Anolis sagrei: one gene and its partner. The main gene of each other region encodes a partner of the protein of the gene in region 2 in a complex. Links are inferred from orthologs where the notes say so. Each region holds a gene or a part of one and is shown on either strand. Other genes may lie near its edges.

Evidence for each region.
Region 1: the proteins of IFFO1 (region 2) and XRCC4 are in contact, whole or in part, in a crystal structure (PDB 6ABO), measured with the Homo sapiens proteins. The link is inferred for Anolis sagrei from reciprocal best matches to the Homo sapiens genes IFFO1 and XRCC4. Residues at the interface, in NP_001317253.1 of Homo sapiens: Arg469, Glu470, Tyr473, Ile477, Gln479, Ile480, Glu481, Glu483, Leu484, Ala487, Lys488, Asp490, Met491, Arg493, His494, Leu495, Tyr498, Met501, Lys505, Leu508, Asp509, Met512, Cys515, Arg516, Leu518, Ile519, Thr520, Gln521; in NP_001304941.1 of Homo sapiens: Trp155, Val158, Gln159, Phe162, Glu163, Cys165, Val166, Lys169, Glu170, Glu173, Leu176, Tyr177, Phe180, Val183, Leu184, Lys187, Lys188, Lys190, Ile191, Leu194, His195, Lys197, Leu198, Ala201, Ala202, Arg205, Glu212.

What each region holds. Positions count from the first base shown.
Region 1 is NC_090022.1:260,345,193-260,361,059, forward strand, and holds the start of XRCC4 (DNA repair protein XRCC4), read right to left. Parts: upstream 7,684-15,867; 5' UTR 7,597-7,683; intron 1-7,596. Other genes in the region: TMEM167A (protein kish-A), read left to right, coding at 7,844-7,846, 11,797-11,906, 12,619-12,653.
Region 2 is NC_090022.1:197,315,820-197,330,781, reverse strand, and holds the start of IFFO1 (non-homologous end joining factor IFFO1), read left to right. Parts: upstream 1-9,015; 5' UTR 9,016-9,066; coding exon 9,067-9,857; intron 9,858-14,962. UniProt on the Homo sapiens protein: Nuclear matrix protein involved in the immobilization of broken DNA ends and the suppression of chromosome translocation during DNA double-strand breaks (DSBs).

The DNA of each region.
Region 1 (15,867 bases), about 63 Mb from region 2:
AACTAGTAATACTCAAAGGGGAGTGCCCTAGTATGCTTTTAAAGATTTAATAATGCTGCTTCTGCAAATCTTAATACATTAGCTATGTCTGCAAAATTAACCCATTCAGTTTCACTGTTCCTTGGTTAATACAAAGAAAAGCTTTAGGAAAACTGATTGACTATAGCAATAGATGAGTCAGTGCTTTGCTCCCAAGGGCACAAAGAGTCATATTACATATCAACACCTCACCATATAATTCCTAAAGAACAAAGATTGAATTGCAGGTGGAATGAACTAAGTTCCACCCCAAATTTGTACATCACTGGCTGTACTGAGAACATCAGACAGTTGACGATTGAGATGCTTCTCTTTAGTACTTTGTGTCTTTGGTGTTTGGCATCTATGATCTTTATTAGGCAATGCTTCCTTCTGGGGAAGAATCAGCTGTTGGCTGGCATGTAATTACTTGGGAGTCTGCTCTTTCAACAATGACAGCTCACAGCCTAGATGAATAAACAAGACAGTTGTTTAAAAACTAGTTAACAAAATGATTTTGTATGCTGCTTTGGATAGCACTCAGGCACAATACAGAAGCCAAGTCTTAATTTTTTTTGACTGCTCCACAGAGTATCATTGATATTTCAAGTTCGCCTTTCATTTTTGGCTTCCATGGCTGACTTTTGAGAAAGCCTGGGTGAGAAAGGTTTCAGCAGCAGGTGTTGCAAATCTCAGCCATTAAGTTTTTGGAACATGCAGACCTAAAGCCGGGGGTGGGGGTTACAGCAGCATTTACGAACCAATTCCGTCCACATGGCACATGGGTCCTAGCCAGCCTTACCACGTAGCAAAAAATTGTGTCAGTGTGAAAATCAAGATGTGCACTTGCATCAGCATTGCCCATCTTGCGTGCCAGAGCAGCTATTGGCTTCTGTGTGCTCCAGAAGGCCAGGAAGCAAACACAATACTTGGCAGAGGACCACGAAAGATGCCAATTAAGAGGTAATATTTAACTTTCAAGCTGGCTTCTGTTTGCAAACTTGATTTGATTATAACTCTTGCAATATGAAGGAAATGCAATGAAAACAGAAGAAAATCAGGAATTAATACACTAATCTCAGGTTTATCATCTTCATGCATCACATGAGTTCTAAATGACTGCAACTAAGAAAGTTGTTGTTCTTAGAAATATCCATCTGAGCTGATGGGTCATTAAGTTTGCTTGAAAATCCACACATAATTAGATCCATGAAGTAGGCATTTTAGCACACTGTCACCCAGGCCCGTAGCCAGGATTTCGTTTCGGGGGGGGGGGGGGGGGCTAAATTTTTTTCAGGGGGGGTTTGGGGGGGGGCTGAGTCTGAGCGAAAGAGGGTCTAGCCTAGCAAACCTTTTGTATAATTACCCCAATACCCCCATGCATATGGGATATATTGAGTATGGTGATCAGATCATGATATGAATAAACATAACAGTTTAAATAATGCACCAGTAAGGCCTTTTCGTGAACCACCATGAGAATTTCGGGGGGGGGGGGCTGAAGCCCCTCAAGCCCCCCCCCCCCTCCGGCTACATGCCTGCTGTCACCTTAAGAATCGCAAAATACACCTTTGGGTTTCAAACATCTGACACATGCAGGGCAGTGTTTTATTTAAGGGAGAAAAATAGCTGCAACAAAAACTGTCCCAATTCATCTATTGCATTTTGAATTAGGGTATAGTACTTTTTGTCCCTAATACAGTGAGCCCTTGGTATCTGCTTATGTTTGGTTCCAGGTCTTCTGTTCAAATTGCTATCACTTCAAATTAGCATGGCTTAAGGGATATGTCTAAAAATTGCTAGGATTGCAACCAGTGTTTTGATTATAGAGATTTTACTGAAGTTCATACAAATGTGTTTTACAGTAAAGAAAGATCTAGACAATCCAACACAGGTCTGAATTTCCTTCGTTTCCTTCTTTTGCCAAAATGTCTCAGAGGATGTCTAAATTTCATATTTTCAGATCATTTGGTTTTTTACCCCTCCAATAGAGGAAATACAATTTTTCATTTTTGAGATTAGATAATGGACCTGAAAGAATACTTTTACACACATTTATGATCATTACAGAACATTTTTCCCTGAAGGAAGAGGCAATAAATCTCAATTCTCTGGTGTGTTTCATAGCAAAAAAAAAAAAATGGATCTACTGAAGACAACTTAAGCCAACACTTCTCTAGGATTCATAATTAGTTTCCTGCCACCTGTATTCCTCTGTGTTTTGGATGGGATTTAATTTGGCCTTTATCCTCACAACTGTACAGGATTCCTGGATCATTTTAACTAGCTGTCATTAAACATTCAAGCTGGCTTCTGTTTGCAAACTTGATTTGATTATAACTCTTGCAATATGAAGGAAATGGAATGAAAACAGAAGTAAAGCAGGGATTAATACACTAATCTCAGGTCTATCATCTTCATGCATCTCATGAGTTCTAAATGATTGCAACTAAGAAAGTTATTGTTCTTAGAAAAGGAAAGTGATCATTTAACAAAAGAAACATACAGTTGAGAAGTAACATACCAAATCAATAACTTAATTTGCAAAAATTGCAAAATAAAACACTTGCTTTATTTATACCCCATCTTTTCCCTTAAGAATAAGAATTCCTTCATATTCAGCCACAACTATCATGAAACATTATAAAACATAATGGACATTGGGATATTGCCAAAAATCACAGTATGTCTGAAAAGTTCTTCAACCACTGTAAGAAAACATGAATACCCAACACCTTACCATACATATCAGGATCAAATTTCATTTTAGCTACGTCAGTGGATAACTATATTCAGAGTAACTCCTTCTCATATAACTAACATATGCACCAATTTTCTGATTTGGCAGAAACAGTCAAGATCAATCCTTTCTTTCCTTTTTCAGCTGCTTTGAAAATGGATAGATTTCTCTCCCCTTTTTCCTCTCTTCCCTTGTCCTCAGATTATTGATTTCAAAGTACAAAAACAGTTTAAAGTTGGTTCTCCACACTGTAGATTTCACTTTTATGAATTTGACTATCTGTAGATTTAATTAGTATATTCCCTTTTGAAAGGGCTCCTTCTACACTGCAATATAAAATCCAGATTATCTGCTTTGAACAGGATTATAGGGCAATGTAGTCTCAGATAACCCAGTTAAAAGCAGATAATGTGGATGATCTGCTTTGATAATCTGGATTACATGGTAGTGTAGAAGGGGCCTAGATCCTCCAGTGCAACTTTATGGTCAATGTCTAGCTGATGTTTATAAAAATGCACTGGAGGACTGAGAGATTCCTAGAGAAAGGATTAGGCATTTAGAGGTCCTCCACAATGACTCTATTGGAATTTGATCTTAAGATCACAGTGGAGGACCTAAAGGATCTGATCCCAGGTTGTCTGCTTTGAACTGGATTATGAGTCTATACTGGCAGATAATCGGAGATAATCTGATAATCTGGGAACATATCCTTGGATATGTTGGCAGTGTAGAGCCAGCTCTAGAGAGGTGTTCTCTTGGAAGGGTGTGTATGTGTGTGTGTTTGTATTTGCGGTTTCCCCCTTTCATTGGGGGGAAGTGGAGGCTAAATCCTGCTTTTCCCAATAGGCTCAGGGAAAAGCAAACTTCTATAGCCTCTTCTAGCTTGTTTATTCTTCCTCATTAATACCATAACATTTGCCATCTTGACCATACTGTGATGTTGCTTGACTACATCCAGTTTCCATTTGTGATCTATTGGATGATATGAATTACCTCTTAGATTACTGATGGACACTATCTAAAAATTGCTAGAATACGAGCAGGACTTCAATATATTAAGCCAATAAGGAAAATAAACAGACAGAAGTAGTCCACAAAGGATGCCCTTTCAGATACCTATCATTTTATTTCTGTGCTGTGCTCAGGGGAAATAGGTTTCAGTTTGGTAGAAGCAAGAATATCTTCCTTAAACTGATAGCAAAAGCAGATATTTACCATATGTTGGTCTGGATGGGGAAAAACACAAATCTCCTGTTCACAAATTCCTTCAGGATGAGCAACTAAACAATCAACAGGCTGCAATAAGCCATCAAAGCATATATGAAGACTTGCTAAAATCAGAGAGTTACTTCTGGAAAAGTTCTGCGGTGTTTAACGTGATTTGATTAATTTATGTGAACACTGAGAAGGAGAGAAATTTTCCCAATAAACCAGAAGCCCAAGTTTAGTGGTCTAAGATTAATCTGGATGAGCAAAATGATGCTGAATGTTTTTACTATTGCATGCTGTTGATGACTGCTATTTCTTTTGGGGCAGAACTAGCAAATCCTATGGACATGTAATGTGAAAACCGTGTAGCAAATACTTAGGTCTACCAACAGAGTATCGAAAAGCTTTTCTGGAATAAAACAGCACGATTAACTTACTGGGCAGTGGGAACGATTTTAAATACTGTTATGTTTAATTCTGTTTCAATGTTCACATATTTGTATATTTTAAATTATGTGGTCATACTTTTAATGTAAGCTACTTTAAGTCTCCTTCAGGAGAGATAAAGCGGTGTGTAAATAATAATAATAATGGATGAAACTATGGATTGGGATGTCTAACTCGGAAACCTGGAATACTCCAAAATTGCCCACATGGGTTGCTAAGATAGTATTGCCTTGCTTTCTGATAATCACACAAACTTTACTTTGTGCACAAAATTGATTAAAATATTGCATTAAATTACTGTGAGGCAATGTCGCCGAGGTGTATCTGAAACAAAAATGAATTTCGTGTTTACTTGGGTCCCATCTCCCAAAATACCTTATTAGGCACATATATACAAATGCAGGTGTGTTGAAATCCAAAACACTTCTGGTCCCATGCATTTCAGTTGCCATAAATGAATGAGAATTGTCAGGAGCACTTTAATGCGTGGACCACTGCAAAACAAAACTATGGCATGACCTATAGCATTTTATTTCTTTGGCCCTCAAAGAGAATAAGGGTGTATCTTGTAGAATTAATTTAGTTTGACACCAAACTACAAATCCTAGAAATGTATAGCTGTGAGCCATAGCATTGTTTCTGCTGGGTTGATGAGCCTTAGAACAACTCCCGGAATATGTATGGCCTCTGACTGAGAGTCTGGGGCAGGCATAGGCAAACTTGGGGCCCTCCAGGTGTTTTGGACTTCAACTCCCTCAATTCCTAACAGCCTCAAGCCCCTTCCTTTTAGCTTAAGCGGCTGAGGGGGGAAAGGAAAGGGCCAGAGGCTGTTAGGAATTGTGGGAGCTGAAGTCCAAAACACCTGGAGGGCCCAAGTTTAACATGCCTGGTCTAGGGGAACATTTGTGGGTCCCCAGATGTTTTGGCCTTCTACTCCCAGAAATCCTAACAGTTGGAAAACTGGCAGGGATTTCTGAGAGTTGTAGGCCAAAACACCTGGGGACCCACAGGTTGAGAACCACTGCTCTAGAGAAGCTTGCCCAGATCACTGGGGAGTGTTTACAGCTGCCGAAGGCTCATCTTCAGTGACTGAGAGAGGCAGGACGAGCTGCTGGAAGCTGCTACCCCCCACCCCAAACTCCTCTGCCGGCATCTGGAGATGTTTTGAGAACCAGTGGTCTAGTGGTACATCTACATTGATGGGTTAATGCAGTTTATTTATTTATTGACAACATTTATGTGCCACCCTTCCCATCCCGAAGGGGACTCAGTGCGGCTTACAAGATATATATACATACAATATATTATCTTCTTAGCATAGTACAATATCAGTATTAAATATTACTATATTGCACTATACAATTATTTTGTAATATTAGTAATATTACATGCAATATAAATATATATCCCTGCTTTTTTTTTTTTGTCGTGTCAGGAGCAACTTCAGAAACTGCAAGTTGCTTCTGGTGTGAGAGAATTGGCCGTCTGCAAGGACGTTGCCCAGGGGACGCTGGATGATTTGATGTTTTTATCATCCTTCTGGGAGGCTTCTCTCATGTCCCCGCATGAGGAGCTGGAGCTGATAGAGGGAGCTCATCCGCCTCTCCCCGGATTCGAACCTGTGACTGTCGGTCTTCAGTCCTGCCGGCACAGGGGTTTAACCCACTGCGCCACCGGGAGCTCCTTATATCCCTGCTGAGTCATGACTGCTATTTAAGGAGCCCCCGGTGGCACAGTGGGTTAAAGCACTGAGCTGCTGAACTTATTGACCGAAAGGTCGCAGGTTCGATTCCGGCGAGCGGTGTGAGCTTCCGCTGTCAGTTCTAGCTTCTGCCAACCTAGCAGTTCAAAAACATGCAAATGTGAGTAGGGCAATAGGTACCGCTCCGGCAGGAAGGTAACGGCGCTCCATGCAGTCATGCCGGCCACATGACCTTGGAGGTGGCTATGGACATCGCCGGCTCTTCGGCTTAGAAATGGAGATGAGCACCACATCCAAGTCAGACATGACTGGACTTAATGTCAGGGGAAAACCTTTATCTTTATTATAAATATATAATTATAATATCATATTATTAGTTATTATATTATTAGCATAACGCAGGAAACAAGGTGGAACTGTCTTCTGCCCCCCTCTCTCTTTACTCTAGCCCAGAGTGGCAGTTGGTGCTGGGGAGAGGAATCCCCAACTGATGACATATGCAGGAGACAAGTTTATTTATTTATTTACTTTATTTATACCCCGCTAACATCTCCCGAAGGACTCAGTGCGGCTTACAAGAGGCCCAACACATCAATAAAACAACAGCATAACAAATACAACAATAAATAAACTCATAAAGCAAAGCAATAAACATTAAAACAATAACAATAAGCATTAGACAGTAACACCACAAGGCATTTAAAAACTGAGGCCGGGCCAAATGTAATGAATAAAATTTTAAAAATGCTGGACATGACAGGTGAAATGGATAGGTTTTCTAGTAAAGTGCATTTGGGACATGATGCTAGGAGTTTTCCATTCTGGGAAGGCACACTGGAACAGCGACATCTTCAAGCTCTTCCTAAAGACTGCCAATGTTGGGGCTTGTCTGATGTCCTTGGGGAGAGAGTTCCAGAGTCGGGGGGCCACCACAGAGAATGCCCTGTCCCTCGTCCCCACCAAACGTGCTTGTGACGCAGGTGGGATTGTGAGCAGGGCCTCTCCAGATGACCGGAGAGATCATGTGGGTTCGTATACGGAGATGCGGTCACGCAAGTTTGAGACTATGTTAACTGCCATGAATTAATGCCATGGAATCCTGGGATTTGTAGTTTGGTGGGGCACCATCACTCTTTGGCAAAGAAGGCTTTGTAAAACCACAACTTCCTGGATTCCATAACACTGAGCCCTGGCAGCTAAAGTGGTGCCAAACTACATTAAATATAGTGTAGATACACCCTAGGAGTTGGCAATCCAAGAAAGTAACTTTCCCAATCTCAAAACAGGCGATAAGAGAAATGAGGGCATAGCTTTGAAAAGCCTCGCTCAGCCTTGGAACGAAAACAAGTGCATTTTCAAATAATTTTCCTCCTCCTTGACAAGAAACCCCTTGCCTTTTAGTCTTCCCTTCATTAGCATGGCGAGAGGGATATAGGACCCCCACTACCTAACAAACACACACAACTTCCCCCTCTCCTACCTCACACTGGACTGAAAGTTCCACTTCCGGCTTCTCCTCCCGCCTCCGTTCCGTTGCCCCCAGGAGCAGCCCCGCCTACATTCTGAATCTCCTCCAATCAGAGCGCCGGTAACCGTCTTCGCTGGCGCCAATCGCGGGCCGCCGTTTCCTTTGACCAATCAGCAGCCTAGGCGGACCGCTCCCGCGTCTTCCGTGCCCCGCCCCTTGGCTGCCGGATGTCTGATGTGGCTCGCGGCGGCGCGTAACCATGGTAAGCAAAGGGCCAAAGAGAGGAACACGGGAGGGAAGGGCAGGGGGCGTCTGTGGTTTTGGTTTTGTAGGTACGGCTTCTCGCTTTCTGAGGCGGCTTCCGAGGCCTGGCGTCAGAGAAGGGTTGGGCTCCGCGCTGGAAGGAAGGAAGGAGCCCTTGGGTTCTCTCATGAACCTTCTTGCTTTCCCCAAAAGGGGCCTACACTGTAGAACAGGCCTGGGCAAACTTGGGCCCTCCCTCCAGGTGTTTTGGACTTCAACTCCCACCATTCCTAACAGCCTCAGGCCCCTTCCTTTTCCCTCTCAGCCGCTTAAGCGGTTGAGAGGGAAAAGAAAAGGGCCTGAGGCTCTTAGGAATGGTGGGAGTTGAAGTCCAAAACACCTGGAGGGAGGGCCCAAGTTTGCCCAGGCCTACTGTAGAATGAATTCAGTTTGACACCACTTTAACTCCCATGGCTCAATGCTATGGAATCCTTGGGGTTGTAGCTCTCCAAGGCCTTTGGCTTTACATGGTGACTCTATACAACAGCTGCCAGGATTCAATAGCCATCAGTGGTGTCAAACTGCATTCATTCTACAGCAGGGATCCTCAAACTAAGGCCCGGGGGCCGGATATGGCCCTCCAAGGTGATTTGCCCAGCCCTTGCTTATAGAATCATAGAATCAAAGAGTTGGAAGAGACCTCATGGGCCATCCAGTCCAACCCCCTGCCAAGAAGCAGGAATATTGCATTCAAATCACCCCTGACAGATGGCCATCCAGCCTCTGCTTAAAAGCTTCCAAAGAAGGAGCCTCCACCACACTCCGGGGCAGAGAGTTCCACTGCTGAACGGCTCTCATAGTCAGGAAGTTCTTCCTCATGTTCAGATGGAATCTCCTTTCTTGTAGTTTGAAGCCATTGTTTCGCGTCCTAGTCTCCAAGGAAGCAGAAAACAAGCTTGCTCCCTCCTTCCTGTGGCTTCCTTTCACATATTTATACATGGGTCAACCTAAGTCTGAAACGACTTGAAAGCACACAACAAAAACAACAATCCTATCTCATCAGCCAAAAGCAGGCCCACACTCCCATTGAAATACTAATAAGTTTATATTTATTAAAATTGTTCATTTTAATTATTGTGCTGTTTTAAAGTGTTTTTTGCACTACAAATAAGATATGTGCAGTGTGCATATATTTCATTCATATATTTTTTTTTCAAATTATAATCCGGCCCTCCAACAGTTTGAGGGACTGTGACCTGGCCCTCTGTTTAAAAAGTTTGAGGACCCCTTTTCTACTGTGTAGAAGATGCAGCCAGAGAGTCATCTGGAGTTTCCTTCTCTGCTTTCCCATGCCTACATTGAAGTATGTGTTGTGCAAATTGAACTCCATAAAAGAAAAGCAGCACAACAAGGGAGGGGCAAAGAACAAACACAGCTTGTTACATTTTCAGTCTAGTAAGGTACCAAAAAACAAGTACTGCCTGAAAAAGTTCTGGCTTGGCATCCCTTATCTGGAATCCTGATATACCGCCAAACCCAAAATTGTTCATGGGAATGGAATGGCATGGTAACACCTTTATTTATGTTTTTAACAGTTTTAATGTATGTATTTTATAATTTTGTTTTAAATGTTTATTGTGATTTTTACATTGTTTCAAGGGCATCGAATAGTTGCCTATGTTGTCAAGCTGCCTTGAGTATCTTCAGATTTGAGAAAGGCGGGGTAGAAATATCGTAAAGAAGTAAATAAATACTTACATTTTCTGGTGCTTTAATTTACACAAACCTTGCTCCATGCACAAGTTATTTCTAAAATATGGTGTATAAAATTACTTCTGGGTGATGTTGAAAGGTGCACGTGAAAAATAAACAAATGTGTTTACACTTGTATCCCCTCTCCAGGATATCTCATGTTGTTGGTTGCCTTTGAGTTGTTTTAGACTTGTGGTGGACCTATCACAGGGGTTTCTTGGGAAGATTTGTTAAGAAATGGGCTTCTCTTATCTTTCCTCTAATGGCCCTTCCACACAGGCCTCTATCCCAGAATATCAAGGCAGAAAATCCCACATTATCTGCTTTGAACTGGGTTATCTGAGTCCACATTCAGATAATGTGGGATTTTCTACCTTGATATTCTGGAATATAGGGCTATATGGAAGGGCCCTTAAACATAGGGCCCTTGCACCCAGCCATATAACCCATATTTTCAAGGCAGAATAACCTACAATATCTGCTTTGAACTGGAATATCTGAGTCCACAGTGCCATATATCCCAGTTCAAAGCAGATAATGTGGGATTTTATTCAGCTGTGTGGAAGGGACCTTAGTGAATGCAAATTGTCAAAAGTCCCCCAGGAAGTTTACAGAGCGGAGTGTAGATTTGAACTCTAACCTGCAGGCATTTAATCCTGTGCTCAAAGCACTACACCACTCGTACTCTTACTTCATTAGATACATACAGTGGTTCCTTGGTGTTCACTGTAGTTTGGTCTCCAAGTCCCATTATATACAGCGACATAGTAAAATGGTGCCTTTTATATAAAATGACAAAATCAAGGTTTGCTTTTTGGATTTTTTAAACTTCAAACCATTGATGGTTGAATCCGAGATGTTAAAGTCTAACCGTATTCACTCACTTCTAGAATCCAGTGGCCATACAGGCTGGGAAATTCTGGAGTCTTACTATTAGAGGTTGACCATCTCTTATCTAAACATCCAGAATGCACCACAATCCAAAATTATTCACATGGGTGACTAAGATAGTGATACCTTTATTTCATTCACAAAATTATTAAAATATTTTGTATAATATTAACTTCAAGGTGTGTGTATAAAGTATACACCAAATATACATAAATGCATTTTGTATTTCAACTTGGGTTCCATCTCCAAAATATCTCATTGTATATGTATTTACAAATACAGGCACGTGTTAAGTATCTGAAATGTTTGGGACCAGAAGTGTTCAGTACTTCAAATTTTGGGATATTTGCATGTACATAATGGAGATAAATTTGATTCAAGTCTAAAAACAAACCTCATTCAGAAGGCTGTGGTACGGATAGATTTGTAAATGTTTAATTTTGAATCGAAGACCTTCTGCATGGAAAGCACATTCTCTACCTTGAGGCTATTAAGGGAAGAGTGGTTGAGGTCATCATAAGCAGACCTATTCTGTCCAATATACAGCACAATGAGTAACTGAAATTTGTTTCTGTGGGGGAAAAAATAGGCCACTGAATTTAGGATAGTCATCAAAAGTGTTGGTAGGAAATCTACCTTCCTCCTTTTATGTCAGTTTGCCTTTCGCTGTAAGAGTATACCCAAAGGAGAGTGACATGTGTCAAGGAGATTCACTAAATCTAAAGTCTTCCTGAACCCATGAGATTTCTACCTGGAAAAGTGTCATTAATTTTTATCATAAAAAGTGTGCTGCTGGTTGTGTGACATAATCTAATCAATAACTCCCAGTGGCACAATGAGTTAAAACCTTGTGCTGGCAGGACTGCAGATTGAAATGTCAGTGGTTCGAATCCAGAAAGCAGGGTGAGCTCCCATCTGTCAGCTCCAGCTTCTCATGCAGGGACATGAGGGAAGCCACCCACAGGATGGTAAAACATCCAGGCGTCCCCTGGACAACGCCCTTGCAGACAAGCAATTCTCTCACATCAGAAGCGACTTGCAGTTTCTCAAGTCGCTGCTGACATGAAAAAAAATTAATAGTTTCAGAATAAATATATATATATATATATATATAATGTGTGTGTGTGTGTATCAAGTTTTAGGTTTGTTTGTGGTTATAGAGTGCTAATGAGAGCAGCTTTATTGGAAACCATAAATGATGCACTGGAATGGTCCCTGATTTTATAGACCTCAAAGACTCAGTAGTGATTCTAAAATTATAAAATAATAAGTAATAAAGGCTGGATGATGACTCCTATTTTGTATTGCTTTTTTTTTCTCTTTTAGTCTGCGATCTTCAACTTTCAGAGTCTACTGACAGTAATCTTGCTACTTATATGTACCTGTGCCTATATAAGATCCTTGGCTCCCAAATTATTGGATAACAACCAGACTGGGTATGTGAATGTCTTGAAATGCAGGGGAAAGAGAAATAGATGTACTTGCTTGTTTATTATTCCCATATCTGCATGTGTCCCATGCAGATATGGGAATTGTACTGTATTTGATCCAGAGTCTTTGGTAGAAATCAAATCCAATCTACTCAGGGTGGTGGGAGAATTGGTTTTAGATAAAAGTCTTCCAAATAAATTGCATGGCATGGAGGACTTAGAATCCATTCTTGATATCATGAGTGATGTTTGTCAAATAAGATTTTTTTAAAAATTCCACAAGGTCCTGAGTCACAGGATTTTAGCCAGTGTTCATATTTTTTAGTTAAGATATTTCAGCCCTCCCTGAATTCAAAGATCTCGGGGTGATGTGCAATACATTTTCACCGTTTAAAATTATCTTAAAGAAGAGTGATGTAAATATACTAAAACATATTAAACTATCCTACAAGATTGTTTAAAAATGGTTGAAGTTACTTAAATGGTTTGAGGTATCTTAAAAGTTCGTACATATGCAGATTTGGATTGATTTAGTTAAACTTCAAAAGCTTTAAGTTATGTTTTTACTTGGCACTGGAAAGACACCAATGCTAGTGCCAGTTGGGCCCCTTAAGAGTAGACTCTCCCATTGCAAGGATGCCACAGCAGAGAAAGCCCCCTGTAAATTGCATTTAGTTTTGACTACATTTTTTTCTAATTCCTCTTAATATCCTTTCAGATTATTGGGAATATTCTGGAAGTGTGCCAGAATTGGTAAGTATGTGTGTTCATTATTTAATGTCTGGACAAAATGTACTGTTAATAGGTGTTCACAGATGAAAGGTTCTCCATCCATTCCATCTGCCACTCCTGTGGCCTCAGAAGGAGAGAAGAGGAGGCAGTATCTGCTGGACTTAATTCTCTTCCACACTGCCATCACTTTTCCTTTTGTGTCATGTCTTAATTAGATTGTAAACCTGAGGTTAGGACAGCATTATTTGGTTTTTACTTGTTAAGCAGCATCACATACCTCAATGTGCCAAATAAACATCTTATGATGATGATGATGATGTCTGTGTAACTTGAATCTTATCAATACATGCCTTTTAAAATTATTGGATAACAACCAGACTGGGTGCCGTGTTCCCACCAAACATGCTCAAGCATGTTTGATGGGAACACTGGAGATGGTCGTTTCAGTGGCTGCTCCTCAACTCCTTCGCAAGAGAGACCAGGATGGCCCCATCCCTGCTGGCCTTCTGCAAGCAGGTCAAGACCTTGCTCTACCAACAGGCATTAGGAGAAGGATAAGGGGCACATTGCTGGGGAGATTGTGGGAGGGGTTTTTGAGGGGACTGTGTGTTTTAAAATACTTTTAAACTGTATTTTAACCTAACACACACAGTGCTGTTTAATTGTTTTCAGTTTTTGTATTTGATTTTAAAAAAATTGATTAAAGTTTGTATCTGTTGGCTATCTTGAGCCCTCTTGAGGAAAAAGGCAGGGTATAAATAAAACTACTAATGATAATGTTGACATTTCCAAATATTTGGTGTTATGGAACTCTTTTCTGTCACGTTGCTTTGATCAGTTTTCCTAATCTGTGGTTACTAGTATGAGAAAAACTGTGCTACACTGATTCATGTTTACCAAAACTCCATCAGTACATTTCTCTAGATAGAAATCCTAAAATATACCTACCTGAATGTAAGTTCTAACGATGCTGTACTGACTTTAAATGATTGTTTGAATGATTGTTTGATCTCAGATCAGTATATAATTAGAACAATCTGAACAATTGAAAAGAATTCCAGATTAAAACCATAAAATAATTTAGATTGAATGAAAGTGTAATAAATCAGTCAATACGCTGAAACATGTTAAAACCATTTATATATACTTTTAAAAGTAACTTATGGCTTATAAAAAGGCCTAAATAACATTACAAAGAAACCAATGTTGTTATTTGGACCTCCATGAATCTATTTCTACATACAATTGGTCCACTGTATCATGGATTCCACAACCCAAAGCTTGGAAATTGTTTTTAAAAAAAATCCAAAAAAGTAAACCTTGATGTTGCCATTTTATATAAGGGGCATTCAATTATATGTAATGGGTTGAGTATCCATGGATTCTGATATCCACAGACCACTCTGTAACCAAACCCCAGCAATACTGGGGTGTTCACAAAACACTTTCTAGGCATTTCAGCATTGATAGAAAAGATTGGGAAGAAGGTAAACACGCCATACATCTAGAAAGTGCCCTGACTCCAGTAAGAGAGTGTAGTTTCAGTGAAGTGAACTACAAAATCAATATTACTGGACCAATAACACTTTGATCTAGCACTATACTCTTGAAAAATTTGACAGTGAGTGAAACATAAATACAACCTTCTCCCTCCATTAATGAGTATGAATTGCTCATCTAATACTTTCAATAAATATCCAGTGACAGTCTCTAAAGTGGTAAAATGTCACCGAAGAGTGTATTTGATAAATATTGTAGGGAATAAGTGGTGGGTAAATTCATTTGGTAACATTTAAAACTTTATATGGTAATTAATCAATTGAAGAAAGGTTCTAATACCTTCACTATGTAATAAAAATAAATAAAAATTGCTAAACTTTTGAAGCGGCGATGTGTTCAAGTGATTATACATGCCAGTATTCTTTCAAGCGAATCTGGTTGCCCAACCCTGACTAAGAAATCTTTCCACAGCAAGAAACAGTTCACTGACTTTTCCCATAAGAGAGGCCACCACAATTACATTACAAGACATTGTCATCATCTGGCATACATTTAATTAAACTGCAAATAGCTGTGTGAATTAATGTCTGCAATTCTACATCTGCTTAGAATTAATGTTGAGGAAGTATACCTCCTACAGTTTTACAGTTTTCATATGTGCACTGCTTTTTTGCTTAATTTTCTTGAAAGAGGCATCCATCATCATTCAGATTAAATGTCTGTTTGCACTACCTAACAAATAGGCAACAGCTTATCTGTGTAAAAGGTGCCGACGTACAAAAAGAGAGCTAAATTCTACAGTGATGATTTGTGTTTGTTTTATAGAAAAAGAAGCTGTGCCAAGTAGTTAGAGACAGTGAAATTCAGACAATTAACTAATTAGTAACTTGTTATAATCATGGTAAAGCCATGCAAAATTACCCTAGATTTCAGCCAAAGTAAACAAGGGTTTTTTGACAAGTGATTACTTTTCGTTTTGATTATTAGGAACCCAATAACCTTCATTTCAGAGATTAATAAAATGAAATATTCTGGATGTAGATGTTTAATCTTTCTACTTTGGCCATCTTCTGGATTAAAATGTTTCCTTTTTTTCAAAGACAGGAGGATAATAATCTTTCTTTTTTTCTGTTCAACAGAGTGAAAAGCAGGATAATTTAGACTACTAGAAAACCAAACGAAGTAAATGCAAATTCCTGAGATCGAGTATTATATCTATGGCCCCATCTACTGCCATATAATCAAGTTTCTGAATGCTGATTAACTGCTTTAAACTGGATTGTATGGCAGTGTAGACTGTTATAATCCAGTTTAAATCAGAATTCAGAAACTGGATTATATTGGTCAGTATAGATGGGGCCTTAATCACATTTAGTTTGATCATGTGCCAACTGTCTTCAGCATACGGGTGGCACCCTAACCCAGATCTTGTTTATGTCCTTCCCCAGCAGCTTCATAGAGATTTTAAAGAGTTGGGAGGATGGGGGACAAGATGGAAGTACTCCATAGCTTCAATGGTCAATGGGACTCAACAGTATTTCCTATGTTAGTCAACAGAACCTTTAGAAATATGCATTGTGTAAATTTGAGCATCCCTTGTTCAGAAATCTGTAGACACCTCCAAGGTCATGTGGCCAGTACGACTGCATGGAGCACATGAAATCCCTTATCCATAAGGGTGGCTGGGAGACATATTCTCTTACCGCAGATGATGGAGTCCATTGATGCAGAATCT
Region 2 (14,962 bases):
TCTTGGCAGGGGGTTGGACTGGATGGCCCATGAGGTCTCTTCCAACTCTTTGATTCTATGATTCTATAAGTGTCAGCACTGCGTCCAGGAGGACCCCCTGACTGAGGACCTGTGTCCTTGGAGTATAACCCTGTTGAGCACAGGTTGCCACCCTATACCCCAATCTATCAATTAGTCTTGATAGTATCTCAACCCATCAGACATAGCTTTCCTTTAAGTTGCTTTAATCGTGTTGAGGTAAAGTATTGACAGCTCTAGCAGTGATGAAGAATGCTGAGATTTGTAGTCCACCAACATCTGAAAGGTCACACAACAAAGATTAGTCCTCATTTAAATTCACTAGATATTTGAGTGGCACCTACTTGAAGCCCAGGGCCCTTACCTGATTTGGAGCGCTTCATATCTCCTGCTCTGTAGTATTTTACTTTAAAAATACTAAACCTGAAATGTTACCCTTGGTGGAGGACATGAGTACATGAGTCTGCCATGGAAAGGCAGACTATTTTAAAGTCCAGGATAATTTTTTTAAATAGGGAAGTAAATCAAAAGCGCTTTTTGATTCTTTTAAAAAACCCAAACAATATGTGTGGTAGAGACTACCACAAAGAGCCTTAGGGCACCCCCTGTGGCCTGTAGGTTATTTTTTCAGCCCTGGAAAAATTGTGTTGAAGTCTTCAGTAGAGGGGAAAGAGAGTAAGAATTAATTGCATAAATAGCTTAATGCAAGAGCTGGCGCTTTCTAAAGTGCTGTGACAAGGCTGAAATCTGAGACACTTAGTTCTTAGTTTCAAAATGGAGCCATTGCTAAATTATGTATTATAAATGCTAGCATCTTATGATGTGATAATGTTTTGTCATTGAAAGGAAGACTTCTGCAAGGCACTATTGCTTTTAAACCTTTGTAGTCACACCAGTCTTATGATGAGCCTCTGCTGGGAGCCAGAGGGAAGGGATATTTGCATTCCTTCCTTGGAGATAATATTTATTAGATATGCTACCTCTGAATGTGGAGGTGCTTATATATCCTTTATTCTTCTAAGAGCAAGCTTGGATGAGGTGCTAACAGGACTGGAGCTATCTGTTGCATTCTAGGCCTGGAAACACCTATGACCACCACACCACACAGTCAAGAAATATAAGCAAAGAAGTTTATTGAAAAATAATATAAAAATCAGAAATAAAAAATGAAGATATATAATCCAAAAAGGTTAGCAACAGGTGATAACCAGACAATAATCCAAATGTCTCATAAAGTTCCAGAGGTGACAAAGTCAAGGAACAGCCAGAAATCACAGATATGGCATAAGTCCAAAATCCATAAGCTATAACTTGTAAAACATGAACAGGAGTACATGAACAGGAACATAGAAAACTTCCAGGATATATTAAATCCAAAATCAAAGCTTGACTTGAACCAGGAACAAGAGAACTCGGGCTTAGCTTCTCACTCTAATGCAGTATTGTCTGAGCTGACTGTAAGGTGAACAACTTGTCTAATAAGCACCCATTAAATCATTCTGTTTCCCATTAATGTCCTTCACAACTGTCCCGTGTAACCTGTCTAAATGACACAATCTATTTTCAGCTCTGATTTGTAAAAGAAGACTTTTGTTGATCTCCATAACTACAGGTGGGTTCTCATGGGAACTTTCCTTATAACTCGGCTCTTCATTCAATTCCTTATCTGCTGTTGCTACTTCTGGCTCCCCTGAATGCCCTTGAGGCCCTGTACCTTCCAAGCCAGTTTTTCACAGAACCATCATTTCCCAGACTTGAATTTCCCAGACTTTAGAGCCCATCACCTTGTGCCAAAGGAAAGCTCACAATCCTCTAAATCATCAGTTTTTTTCCTTTAATTGTTCTATTTATTTATACATCCATTCAATTAACAAACTTTTGCCATACAAGTCTTATCTTGATATATATTATTCCAAAAGTCACTTTACCTTCTATGACATTTTATACATTTCTTAGATGTGTATCTCCCATACCCTCCCTCCTGGAACAGCAATTCAAAATGCTGTCATTTCATCAGATTAACTGTGTGGAAAGCCTAGTTCAAGGTGCTATATCTTTCGTCTAAAATTTAGACTCTAAATCATCAACTGAAACCATCAGCCTCTGGTTGATCTACAACAGGGGGATCCTGAGTTGTGAGGGATTTTTCCCTTTGCACAAACCCACAAAACTCAGGCAAGCAGAGGGAGGACTGCTGATTCTCCTGCAAGAGCCACAATGCCAAATGTCATTTCGAAACTACATGCATAGATTTGCTTCAGGTCTTTAGAGTCCTGGAAGAGGCTACATCTGGTTGCAGGCATGAAGCCCCCCTGCCCCCCCCGAAATTCTCATGGTGGTCCGCGAGAAGGCCTTACTGGTACATTATTTAAACTGTTATGTTTATTCATATCATGATTTGATCACTATGCTCAATATGTCCCATATGCATGGGGTATTGGGGTAACGATACAAAAGGTTTGCTAGGGTAGACTCGCTTTTCAGACTCAGCACCCCCCCAAATCAAACTCAGCCCCCCCCCCCCCCCCCCAAATCAAAATCCTGGCTACGGGCCTGTCTGGTTGGATCCCTGATCTGAAAGCCTCCTGTTAGGATGCAAGTGTAGTGGTATGTAGATCCTGTTTTCCATGGTTTGCCTGGCTCCCTTTGGATTAAGCTTCAAAGAAGTGGTTTATGGCAGGGGTCCCCAAACTAAGGCCCCTGCAAAGTCATTTACCTGTTCCTCACCCTAAACTTTAGACTAAGGGTTGCCCTAAGTCTGAAACGACTTGAAGGCACACAACAACAGCAATCCTAATTAACTTGACTATTTCATCAGCCAAAAGCAGGCCCACACTTCTCATTTAAATACTGGTTGGTTTAAATGGTTCTTCATTTGAAATATTGTATTGTTCTTTCATGGGTTTTATCCCCTAGAAAAAAGATATGTGCAATGTGCATAGTTCATGTTATTTTCAAACTATTCTGCTCTGCAAAAGTGAGGGACTATGAATCAGCCTTCAGCTTAAAAAGTTTGAGGACCCCTGGGTAAGAGACTTAATTCTGTCTGGTGTTCAGAGTGAACTGTCTTTATGATATCGGCTTGTACTCTCTTTTTCTTTTATTTTTTCTTTATTTGGAGAAGCAGTCATCTGGATTTTAGTGCTTTGGAGTTTTCTATTAGAGTTGAAAAGTGGAATATGATCTATTTTATAAAAATAATGTCTCCTGATTGCCCTAGTGCAACCTCATTTTAAAAGCTGCTAATGCTATTGGCATTAGGGCATATTCTGGCATCATCCACTCAGGGAAGAAGCTGTCTGTATCTGTTGAATCTCTTATCAATTTCTTTAATGGATAAATTCTAGTTTTATGAAAAGAAGGAACATTCTAATTTTCTTCACATTATGAATTTGTAGTTTATTTGTTCAGTCACATCCGACTCTTTGTGACCTCATGGACCAGCCCACGCCAGAGCTCCCTGTTGGCCGTCACCACCCCCAGCTCCTTCAGAGTCAAGCCAGTCACTTCAAGGATATCATCCATCCATCTTGCCCTTGGTCGGCCCCTCTTCTTTTTTCCTTCCATTTTCCTCAGCATCATTGTCTTCTCCAAGTTTTCCTGTCTTCTCATTATGTGACCAAAATACTTCATCTTTGCATCTAATACCCTTCCCTCCAGTGAACAGTCGGGCTTTATTTCCTGGAGAATGGACTGGTTTGATATTCTCACAGTCCAAGGCACTCTCAGAATTTCTGTGATTTTTTTTAATTCAGCCATGGAAACCTTATGGGAGTCACACTCTCTCAGCCCCAGAATATCCAGCAATAGGGTTGGTTGCCTTGGGATTACCGTAAGACTGACTGACTTGATTTCAGGTTCTCCGGCATTCAAACCGTTGCTTCAAAGAAGTGTCTTATTCTCTGTCAAACAGTGCTTTATTTGTTAAGAAGCAGATCAGCCTCCTCGTTGCATCCTATGTCAGAACTATGTGATCTATACAGAATAAACCTAATAGAAGACCTTAGAAATTGTATGATAGGTTCAGCAATCGTACCATTAGCCCTTTGGTTCTAATGTGAGAAGGTTCAATCTCCCAGTCTCATCTAATAAAGTAAAGGTAAAGATTTCCCCTTGACATTAAGTCTAGTCTAGTTGTGTCCGACTCTGAGAGGTGATGCTCATCTCCATTTCTAAGCCAAAGAGCCAGCATTGTCCGTAGACACCTCCAAGATCACGTGGTCAGCATGACTGCATGGAGTACAGTTACCTTCCCACAGAAGCAGGAAGGTAACTCACATTTGCATGTTTTTGAACTGTTCTCACAGTTGCATGTTTTTGAACTGTTAGGTTGGCAGAAGCTAGGGCTAGCAGCAGGAGCTCACCCTGCTCCCCAGATTCATACTGCCAACCTTTCAGTCACCATGTTCAGCAGTTCAACAGTTTAACCCAATGCACCACCCAGGGGGCCCAGTCTCATCTGACCTAATCATAACCTAATCATCTAACCTAATCAACAGATTTTTCTTGCTTCTTACATTAATCTTTGATAGTCCTGGCCAAATGGTCTAGTACGAACCTTGTATGTTTTCATATAGTATACTAGCCATCCCCTGCCAAGCATTGCTGTGGCCCAGTCTGTATATATGTGTTTTGTGTGTGTGTGTGTATTTGTGTATATGCGTATATATGTGGTTTTGTGTATGCGTTGCAATGTATTTTTTGGTTTTTGGCTTTTAAAGTCTCTTCTGTGTTTTTCAATGTTTTTATAAGTGATGGTCACTTGTTGGCCTGATAGGTGTCTTGTGTCCAAATTTCATGTCAATTCATCCAGTGGTTTCTGAGTTATGTTAATCCCACAAATGAACATTACATTTTAATTTATATAGATATGCAGCAGTTGTGTATGCCCCATGTTGATGTTTATGGCCTGACTAGAAATAAGTCATGACACTTGAAGGCACACAACAGCAAAGCCCAGATCTTGTATTATCCCCATCTGTGATGGGTTGAGATGATAATTTAATAATATATGGTCTTCCAAGTTAGCCTTACCATATTGTGAGGTTTTACTTACATTCCTTTCCTGTCCTAAATCCCTACCGGCAGATTTTCATGTTTTCCACAGCTGTTACATAACACTGGGCAGCTGCCACTATAGCTATGTCAGTGTTGTATGTGGGCCAACGTTTTAATACATAAAGTCTTTTTATATGGAGAAAGTTACTTGGAGCAGCTCTTGTGTTCCAGGTTTCCACACGTTGGCGAGATTTCTGTGGGAGATCCGCAATTCCCTTATAGCTTGCCCACTCTGCAAGTACCTTCTGCCTCCTGTCCACATTAATTTAATAGGGTTTTCTTAAGCAATGAATATTCAGAGGTGGTTTTGCTTCTACGCTGGGATTTATGAGTTATTCCCATCCAAGTACTAGCCAGAGCAGGCCCTGCTTGGCTTCCAAGATCAGCCAGAATGATTTATGTTCAAATCCAACCGTTTTTTAAAGGTGATCTTTTGGCAGGGGTGTTGTGTGGTTTCTGGGCTGTGTGGCCACGTTCTAGTGGAATTTTCTCCCAACATTCTGCCTGGCATCTGTGCCTGGCATCTTCAGAGGATCTTGATGTGGTCTGGGATTTGTTTTATTATATCAGAAGCGACTTGAGAAAACTGTAAGTTGTTTCTGGTGTGAGAAAATTGGTCGCCTGCAGAGACGTTGCCCAAGGGATGCCCGGATGTGCTACCATCCTGTGGGAGGCTTCTCTCGTGCATGGGAAGCTGGCAATTCAGCTGGCACAAGGGTTTAACCCACGGCTCCCTGGACCGGGGCTGAGTTGCTATCTATATATATAAAAATGCTCTGTGCATAATGAGTACCTTAAAAACAAAAGAACCAATGAACGAAATCACACCAAATTTGGCAACAAAATGTCTTACAACACAAGGAGTAACCATCACTCAAAAAATTATGATTTTGTCATTTGGGAGTTATAGTTGCTGGGATTTATAGTTCACCTACAATCAAAGAGCATTCTGAACTCCATCAACGATGGAAGTGAACCAAACTTGGCACACAGGACTCCCATGACCAACAGAAAATACTGGAAGGGTTTGATGGGCATTGAACTTGAGTTTGGGAGTTGTAGTTCACCTACATCCAGAGAGCACTGTGGACTCAAAAAATGATGGATCTGGACCAAACTTGGCACAAGCACTCAATATGCCTAAATATGAACACAGATGGAGTTTGGGGGAAATAGACCTTGACATTTGGTAGTTGTAGTCACTGGGATTCACAGTTCACCTACAATCAAAGAGCATTCTGAACCCCACAAACGACAGAATCGGGGCAAACTTCCCACACAGAACCCCCATGACCAACAGAAAATACTTAAGGCCACCCAATCCAACTCCCTTCATCAGGGCAAGAAAACGTAATCAAAGTCCTCCTGACAAAGAGCCATCCAGCCATAGATAGATAGATAGATAGATAGATAGATAGATATGATTCACACACACATGAAATGCCACCCCCAATATGCATTATATATGAAGAATTACAAAAACCAAACACCCATCCTTCCACATTCGAATCACTTCTATGGTGCCATATAAAATCCAGATTATTTGCTTTGAACTGGATTATATGGCAGTGTAGGCTCATCTAATCCAGTTCAAAGCAGATCATGTGGATTATCTACTTTGATAATAATATGGATTATATGGCCATAGCGACAGCTATGATGGAAGGAAGAGAAAGAAGAGATGAAAGCAATGCAGTAGTGGACCCAGGGTAGAAAGGACCTCAATTGCTCCCCCTCCCACAACACACCCGAGAGGCTAGCTGAGCCTGGGAGTTTTGGCATCAGTTACATTTTTAGGTTCCTCTGTGCAGGAGCTTGCCAAGACACGTTAGTATATTTTCTGCTTCTGAGCTGCTGGAAGAAGGTCATTCAAATGGACACCTAAAGAACATTTGAATCTCCCTCAAAGGACATTGTGTGAGTCAATGCTCACATGACTGTATATATGGAGCCCCTGGTGGTGCAGTGGGTTAAACGGCTGAGCTGCTCTACTTGCTAACCGAAAGTTTGCAGGTTCTAATCTGGGGAGTGGTGTGAGCTCCTGCTGTCATCCCCAGCTTCTGCCAACCTAGCAGTTTGAAAACATGCAAATGTGAGTAGATCAATAGGCACCAGTCCAGCAGGAAGGTAACGGCGCTCAATGCAGTCATGCCGGCCACATGACCTTGGAGGTGTCTATGGACAATGCTGGCTCTTTGGCTTAGAAATGGAAATGAACACCAATCCCCAGAGTAGGACAAGACTAGACTTAATGTCAGGGGAAAGCCTTTACCTTTTATTTATTTATTTACTGTATTTGTATACCGCCTTTCTCAGTCCATAGGCGACTCAAGGTGGTTATCAGGGAAAAATTCAATTCTTGCAATGTCATAAATACAATTAAAAACATAACAAATAATAAAAACCAAAAAAATCAGTAAAATATAAATTCATAGTGTATCCTCGTTAAAAAACGAAGTCATTTACAAATGCTTGTTCATAAGCCATGCCTTGACTTTTTTCCGGAATGTTAAAAGGGGGGTGGCCGATCTAATATCTATAGGGAGGGCATTCCATAGCCGAGGGGCCACCACCGAGAAGGCCCTGTCTCTTGTTTCCGCCAAATGTACTTGTGACGAAGGCGGTAACGAGAGCAGGGCCTCCACAGACAATCTTAAGGTCATAAGGGGAGGTGTGTTTGGACATGTAAGTTGGACCGAACCCATGTAGGCCTTTGCAGGCTAAAGCCAGCACTTTGAATTGTGCCCAGTGGTAAACTGGCAGCTAGTGGAGCTGGCACAGCAGAGGAGTTGTACGCTCCCTGACTGCTGTTCGTTGGACCATTTGAAGCTTCTGAACAGTCTTCAAAGGCAACCCCATGTAGAGTGCATTGCAGTAGTCTATATGGGATGTAACAAGAGCATGGACTACCATGGCCAAGTCAAACTTGCCTGTCGCTCTGCATAATAAAGCGTAAACACCTTGGTTTTACTGATCACCTGTGTGACCTATCTTTTCTCTAGCAAGACAATGTGTGGATTGATAAAGGTGCGAACTACGCCTTTGGACCGCCAGAAGATCCAACCAGTCCATACTTCAGAAAATAAAGCCCGACTGCTCATTGGAGGGAAGGATAGTAGAGACAAAGATGAAGTATTTTGGCCGTATTATGACAAGAAAGGAAAGCTTAGAGAAGACAATGATGCTGGGGAAAATAGAAGGAAAAAGGAAGAGGCAAGTTGGATGGATGGCATCCTTGAAGTGACTAGATTGATCTTGAAGGAGCTAGGGGTGGTGACGGCCGACAGGGAGCTCTGGCGTGGGCTGTTCGATGAGGCCACGAAGAGTTGGAAACGACTGAACGAATGAACAGCAATGCATGATTTTCATTCTGTCACAGACTCATTGAATCCAGCTCAAAGAAGATAATAGATTGTCTGCTTTGATAATGTGGAATTTTTTTTTGTAGTGTCAGGAGTGACTGCAAGTCGCTCCTGGTGTGAGAGAATTGTCCGTCTGCAAGGACGTTGCCCAGGGGACGCCTGGTTGATTTGATGTTTTTATCATCCTTGTGGGAGGCTTCTCTCATGTCCCCGCATGAGGAGCTGGATCTGATAGAGGGAGCTCATCCGCCTCTCCCCGGATTCGAACCTGCGACCTGCCGGTCTTCAGTCCTGCCGGCACAGGGGTTTAACCCACTGCGCCACCGGGGGCTCCGATATTGTGGATTATACGGCCATATTGACAGCTAGGAAGAAAGGAAGAGCAAGAAGGGATGTAAGCAATGCAGTCGTGGACCCAATGGGGAACCTCAGTTGCTCCCACCCAGCCCCGTGCGCACGCGCACTCCGCAGCCGCACCGCTCGCCCGCCCGCTCGCCCCCTTTTCCCCGGGATGCCCCGCCCCTTTGGAGGCAGCTGGCTCCGGATTGGGCGCCCCCGCGTCCTGGCCACGCCCCCTGGGCTCCCCATCCCGCCCGGCGCCGCAGTCCCCCCGCCGGGCGCCGCAGCCATGAACCCGTTATTCGGGCCCAACCTCTTCTTCCTGCCGCAGGCGGAGCAGGACTCTCCTTTCGGGCTCTTCCCGGGCGGAGGGAGAAGGGGCGAGGAAGAGGACGAGGAGGAAGAGTGGGGCCCGGCCTTCGGGGAGCCTTTCTCCTCCACCACCACCACCTCCTCCTCTTCCGCCATGGCGCTCCGCAACGACCTGGGCTCCAACATCAACGTGCTCAAGACCCTCAACCTGCGCTTCCGATGCTTCCTGGCCAAAGTGCACGAGCTGGAGCGCCGCAACCGGCAGCTGGAGAAGCAGCTCCAACAGGCCCTCGAAGGGGGAGGCAACGGAGGAGGGGGAGGAGGAGGGGGCAGCGCGCGGCGCTCCAGCATCTCCCGGCGCGACCAAGGCGTCCAGACGGGCTTCGTGGGGCCCATCCGCCCGCTGGGGCTGCCCTTGGCGGGAAGCATCGCCCCGCGGGTGCTGGGCTCCCCCAGTCCCAACCCCGCGCGGAGCTTGGCCTCCCCCGGCTGCCACCCGGGAGCCCCCTTGGCGCCCAGCAGCCTCGCCTCGCCTTCCTCCTCCTCCTCCTCCGCCTCGACGCGCTTCCTGCCGGGCACCATCTGGTCCTTCTCGCAGCCGCGGCGCCTGGGGCCCGGGCCGGAGACCACGCTGGTGCAAGGGCCCGGCGTCTCCTGGCTCCACCCGGACGGCGTCGGCGTCCAGATCGACACCATCACCCCCGAAATCCGCGCCCTCTACAACGTCCTGGCCAAAGTCAAGCGCGAGCGCGACGAGTACAAGCGACGGTGAGAACGGAAGAGAGGGATTGGAAGGGGTGGCATCCGGGGCACAGGAAGGGAGCTAGGCTCAGGCCTGGGCAGGCTTGGTGTTTTGGACTGCAGCTCCCATCATTCCTCACAGCCTCAGGTGCTCAGCCGGTTAAGAATGTTAGAATGTTGAGGCTGGCCAATCAGAACCCATATGCAAATTAATAGGTGGAGATCGCTCATGCACGGGCCAACTTGGGTCCTCACGGTGTTTTGGACGTCAACTCCCACCATTCCTAAGAGCCTCAGGCCCTTAGAGACTTAAGAATGTTAGAGGCTGGCCAATCAGAACCCATATGCAAATTAGTAGGTGGAGATCGCTCATGCACGGGCCAACTTGGGCCCTACAGGTGTTTTGGAACTCCAACTCCCACCATTCTTAACATCTTCATCCCCTCAGCCACTTAAGAATGTTAGAATGTTGAGGCTGGCCAATCAGAACCCATATGCAAATTAGTATGTGGAGATCGCTCATGCATGGGCGAACTTGGGCCCTCCAGGTGTTTTGGACATCAACTCCCACCATTCCTAAGGGCCTCAGGCCCTCAGCCACTTAAGAATGTTAGAGGCTGGCCAATCAGAACCCATATGCAAATTAGTAGGCGGGGATAGCTCATGCATGGGCCAACTTGGGCCCTCCAGGTGTTTTGGACCTCAACTCCCACCATTCCTAACAGCCTCGGGCCCTTTCCTTTTCCCTTTCATCTGCTTAAGCTTAAGGTCATTTTGAAATGTCAAAAGGGGGGCCAAAAGGGAAAACTTTTTGAAAGATCTGGCCTGAGAAAAAGAAATGGGCATCTTTAACAACTGGATCACTCTAACAACCACCATGTTGGACTATACAGAAAAGACATTTAAATCCACAAGCATCACTGTGCTGCTGTGAGTTTTCTGGGCTGCATGGCCATTTTCCAGAAGTATTCTCTCCTAACGTTTCGCCCACATCTATGGCAGGCATCCTCAGAGGTTGTGAGGTCTGTTGAAAACTAGGCCAGTGAGATTTATATATCCCTATAATGTCCATGCAGCTGTGGACAAGTCTACATAGGGACTACCAAACACAGCATTGCCCAAACACAAATCAAAGAACATGAAAGGCACTGCAGACTATTTCATCCAGAGAAGTCAGCTATAGCAGAGCTCCTGATGACCCAACCTGGACACAGCATATTATTTGAGAACACAGAAATGCTGGACCACTCTCACAACCACCATGTCAGACTGCACACAGAAGCTACTGAAATCCACAAGCATGTAGACAATTTCAATTGAAAGGAGGGAATCATGAAAATCAACAAAATCTGGCTACTAGTATTGAAAAACTCTAAAATCAGGACAGTGAATAAAGTGCAACACTAAAAAAAACCCCAAAACAAAACAAAAAAAACAGAGGAATTCCAGACAAGAAACAATCAGGGCTAGATAACACCTCTCAACAAAGGATCCCCCAGGCAGTTACCAGCCAGGCTTTGAAGCTGCAAGGCCATTAAACACTAATCAAGGTGGCCAGTTGCAACATTCACACTTGCCTCAAGCAGTTCTTTCTCTCACCCTGGACATTCCACAGATATATAAACCTCATGTGCCTAGTTTCTAACAGACCTCACAACCTCTGAGGATGCCTTCCATAGATATGGGTGAAATATCAAGAGATAATGCTTCTGGAACATGGCCATAGAGCCCGGAAAACTCACAACAATCCAGAAAGGGGCAAATTCAGCCTAAACTCAGGGCTTCTGACTGGAGAGCTTCCCTTCTCAGAAGGGAAAGGGGCACTGCATTTCTTGAATCAGAACCTGTCCAAATATCACAAACCTGGCTTCATGGGTCTGGGAACAGGGTTGCAGAGAAGTATTGCCTCTCTCTCCCTCTCTCTTTGTGTCTCTTAAGAGTGAGAAGGAGAGAGACAACATTGGTTAGACCACATCTGGAATACTGTGTCCAATTCTGGGCACCACAATTCAAGAGAGATATTGACAAGCTGGAATGTGTCCAGAGGAGGGCAACTAAAATGATCAAGGGTCTGGAGAACAAGCCCTATGAGGAGCGGCTTAGGGAACTGGGCATGTTTAGCCTGAAGAAGAGGAGGCTGAGAGGAGATATGATATCCATGTATAAATATGTGAGAGGAAGCCACAGGGAGGAGGGAGCAAGCTTGTTTTCTGCTTCCTTGGAGACTAGGACGCGGAACAATGGCTTCAAACTACAAGAGAGGAGATTCCATCTGAACATTAGGAAGAACTTCCTGACTGTGAGAGCCGTTCAGCAGTGGAACTCTCTGCCCCGGAGTGTGGTGGAGGCTCCTTCTTTGGAAGCTTTTAAGCAGAGGCTGGATGGCCATTTGTCAGGGGTGATTTGAATGCAATATTCCTGCTTCTTGGCAGGGGGTTGGACTGGATGGCCCATGAGGTCTCTTCCAACTCTTTGATTCTATGATTCTATGATTCTATGAAAGAAGTCTGCCACTACCTAAGAGTCCGTTTTCCCTGTGGCTTTTGAGTTTTTTCCTAATTTCCCATAATTTAGTGTTCAAGTAGCCTATATACCAGGGGTCCTCAAACTAAGGCCCGGGGGCTGGATGCAGCCCTCCAAGGTCATTTACCTGGCCCTGCTCAGAGTCAACCTAATTCTGAAACGACTTGAAAGCACACAATAATGACAACATTCTTATCTCATCATCCAAAAGCAGGCTCACATTTCCCACTGAAATACTAACAAGTTTATATTTGTTAAAATTGTTCTTCATTTTAATTATTGTATTGTTTTTAGGTGGGGGTTTGTTTGTTTTTTTGCACTACAAATAAGATATGTGCAGTGTGCATAGGAATTCATTCATGTTTTTTTTTTTCAAATTATAATCTGGCCCTCCCAACAGTTTGAGGGACTGTGACCTGGCCCTCTGTTTAAAAAGTGTGAGGACCCCGGCCATATACCCTTCATTGTCCAGGAGTCTTTGGGACTGCCCCCTCCTTTCATCCCTTCTTTCTCTGTTCCTCCCCTCATGCCTTTCCCCCCTTTCCTTTGGCTTTCTTTCTCTCCTTTTTCTTTCCTCCCCCTCCTTTTTTTCTTTTCTTCTTTCTTTCTTTCCTTCCTTCCCCCCTCCCTGTCTCTTTTCTCCTGTAGCTTACATCACAATGCCTCTGTGGTGACATGACTTTCTGTGTAACTCTTTCCTTCCTCCCTCCCTTCTCCTCATACATAAGTCACCTTTCCTTCCCAGTAACATCACAAAGGGCCACTTCCTCTGGCAACAGCCTTTATGAACGTTAGGAAGAACTTCCTGACTGTGAGAGCCGTTCAGCAGTGGAACTCTCTGCCCCGGAGTGTGGTGGAGGCTCCTTTTTTGGAAGCTTTTAAACAGAGGCTGGGTGGCTATCTTTTGGGGGTGCTTTGAGTTCAATTTTCCTGCTTCTTGGCAGGGGGTTGGACTGGATGGCCCATGAGGTCTCCTCCAGCTCTATGATTCTATGGTTAAGACATCCAGTAGAGACATACTTTGACATTTCATATATAGAGATGTATTTTGAGACCCCAAGCATGGCATCCACGTTGCCACCCGTTTGCCTCCTTTCTTCTTTGCCGTATTGGGCGAGTCCCATGTCACATCTCTGAGGCTGACTCAGCTGACTCAAAGGGGAGGAGGTCCAGAAACCCAAGCCCTTTAAAGATCTGCATAGGCACAGTGTTTGCGGCGGCAACATATTATTTTTGAAGTGCTGTTGCCGCACATTGCTCCCTGCAGACAAAAATGGTTTTAGTCTACATAAGCAAAAGCGTACATTTCTCGACCGGAGAAATTAGAATCATAAAGTTGGGAGAGACCTTGTGGGCCATCCAGTCCAACCCCCTGCCAAGAAGCAGGAAAATTGCATTCAAAGTATCTCCAACAGATGGTCAGGGGTGACAACCTACATTTAGATTGACAGCCTTCTTTTAGACAGGTTGTTGGGACCTGTCTAAGTGTAGGGTGCGAACCAATGCAGTCGGAAAGATCTTTCATGTACTGTTTCTCTAGAAATCACAACCTCAGCATCTCCTTTTGGTGAAAAAAGAGAGAGCAATGCAGTATAAAAGCTGCACTTTAGCCAAGATGCTCACTTCCAAATCTACCCAGCTACTAGGATGACCTCAGGGGCCTTTGGCTAGCTCTACACTGCCACGTAATGCAGTTTGAATTGCATTATATGGTGAATTTAGAGCCATATGATGATGCTTAAACTGCACTATATGGCAGTGTTGATCCAGCTCCAATCAGCCCATCTTCAGAAATAACCAGAGACAAAGGCCTTCTCTGTTGCAGCATCTCAGCTATGGAGAAGGCTTGCGAGCCTGATTTCCTTCCTGCCACCTTCCTAGGAATCTTCTGGTTGTGCAATGGGTTAAACCGTTGTGTCGGCAGGACTGATGACTGACAGGTCGGAGGTTTAAATCCGGGGAGAGTGCGGATGAGCTCTCTCTGTCAGCTCCAGCTCCCCATACAGGGACATGAGAGAAACCCCTCACAAGGATGGTAAAACAGCAAAACATCCAGGCGTCCCCTGAGCAACATCCTTGCAGACGGGCAATTCTCTCACACCATTATTGACTTGCAGTTTCTCAAGTCACTGCTAATTCAAAAAAACCTTCCTATCTTAAAGTTCTTCAGGCATTAACAATGAATTTTAAAAAGATCAATTGGTTTTATAGTGTGGCAAATTTTTCTTTTTTTTCATTCTTTGTTAATGTCTGAAGAGCTTAAAAACTGACCTTGAAAGTTCGTTAGACAAGTGGACTTTCTTTTGGTCCCATCACTGTCATAGACTCCTTGATGGGGACACAAGACAGAGCCTTCTCAATACCCTTGTGCATCCCCTTGAATTTCACCCGGCTGTCTAGTGTTATTATTTTTCAGGTTCATGATTGGTGACAAAGTATGATGGATGCTCTGACAGCGAAAAAGGCTTTGAAACAAAATACAAAGATCGGAAAGATGATCACACAATGCTAGTGAAAGTCTGAAATTAGTGTGGGTGGGGGGTGAACAAGAAGCTACCAAGAAACAGTATTCGCAGTAGGGTTGTTGTGAGTTTTCTGGGCTGTATGGT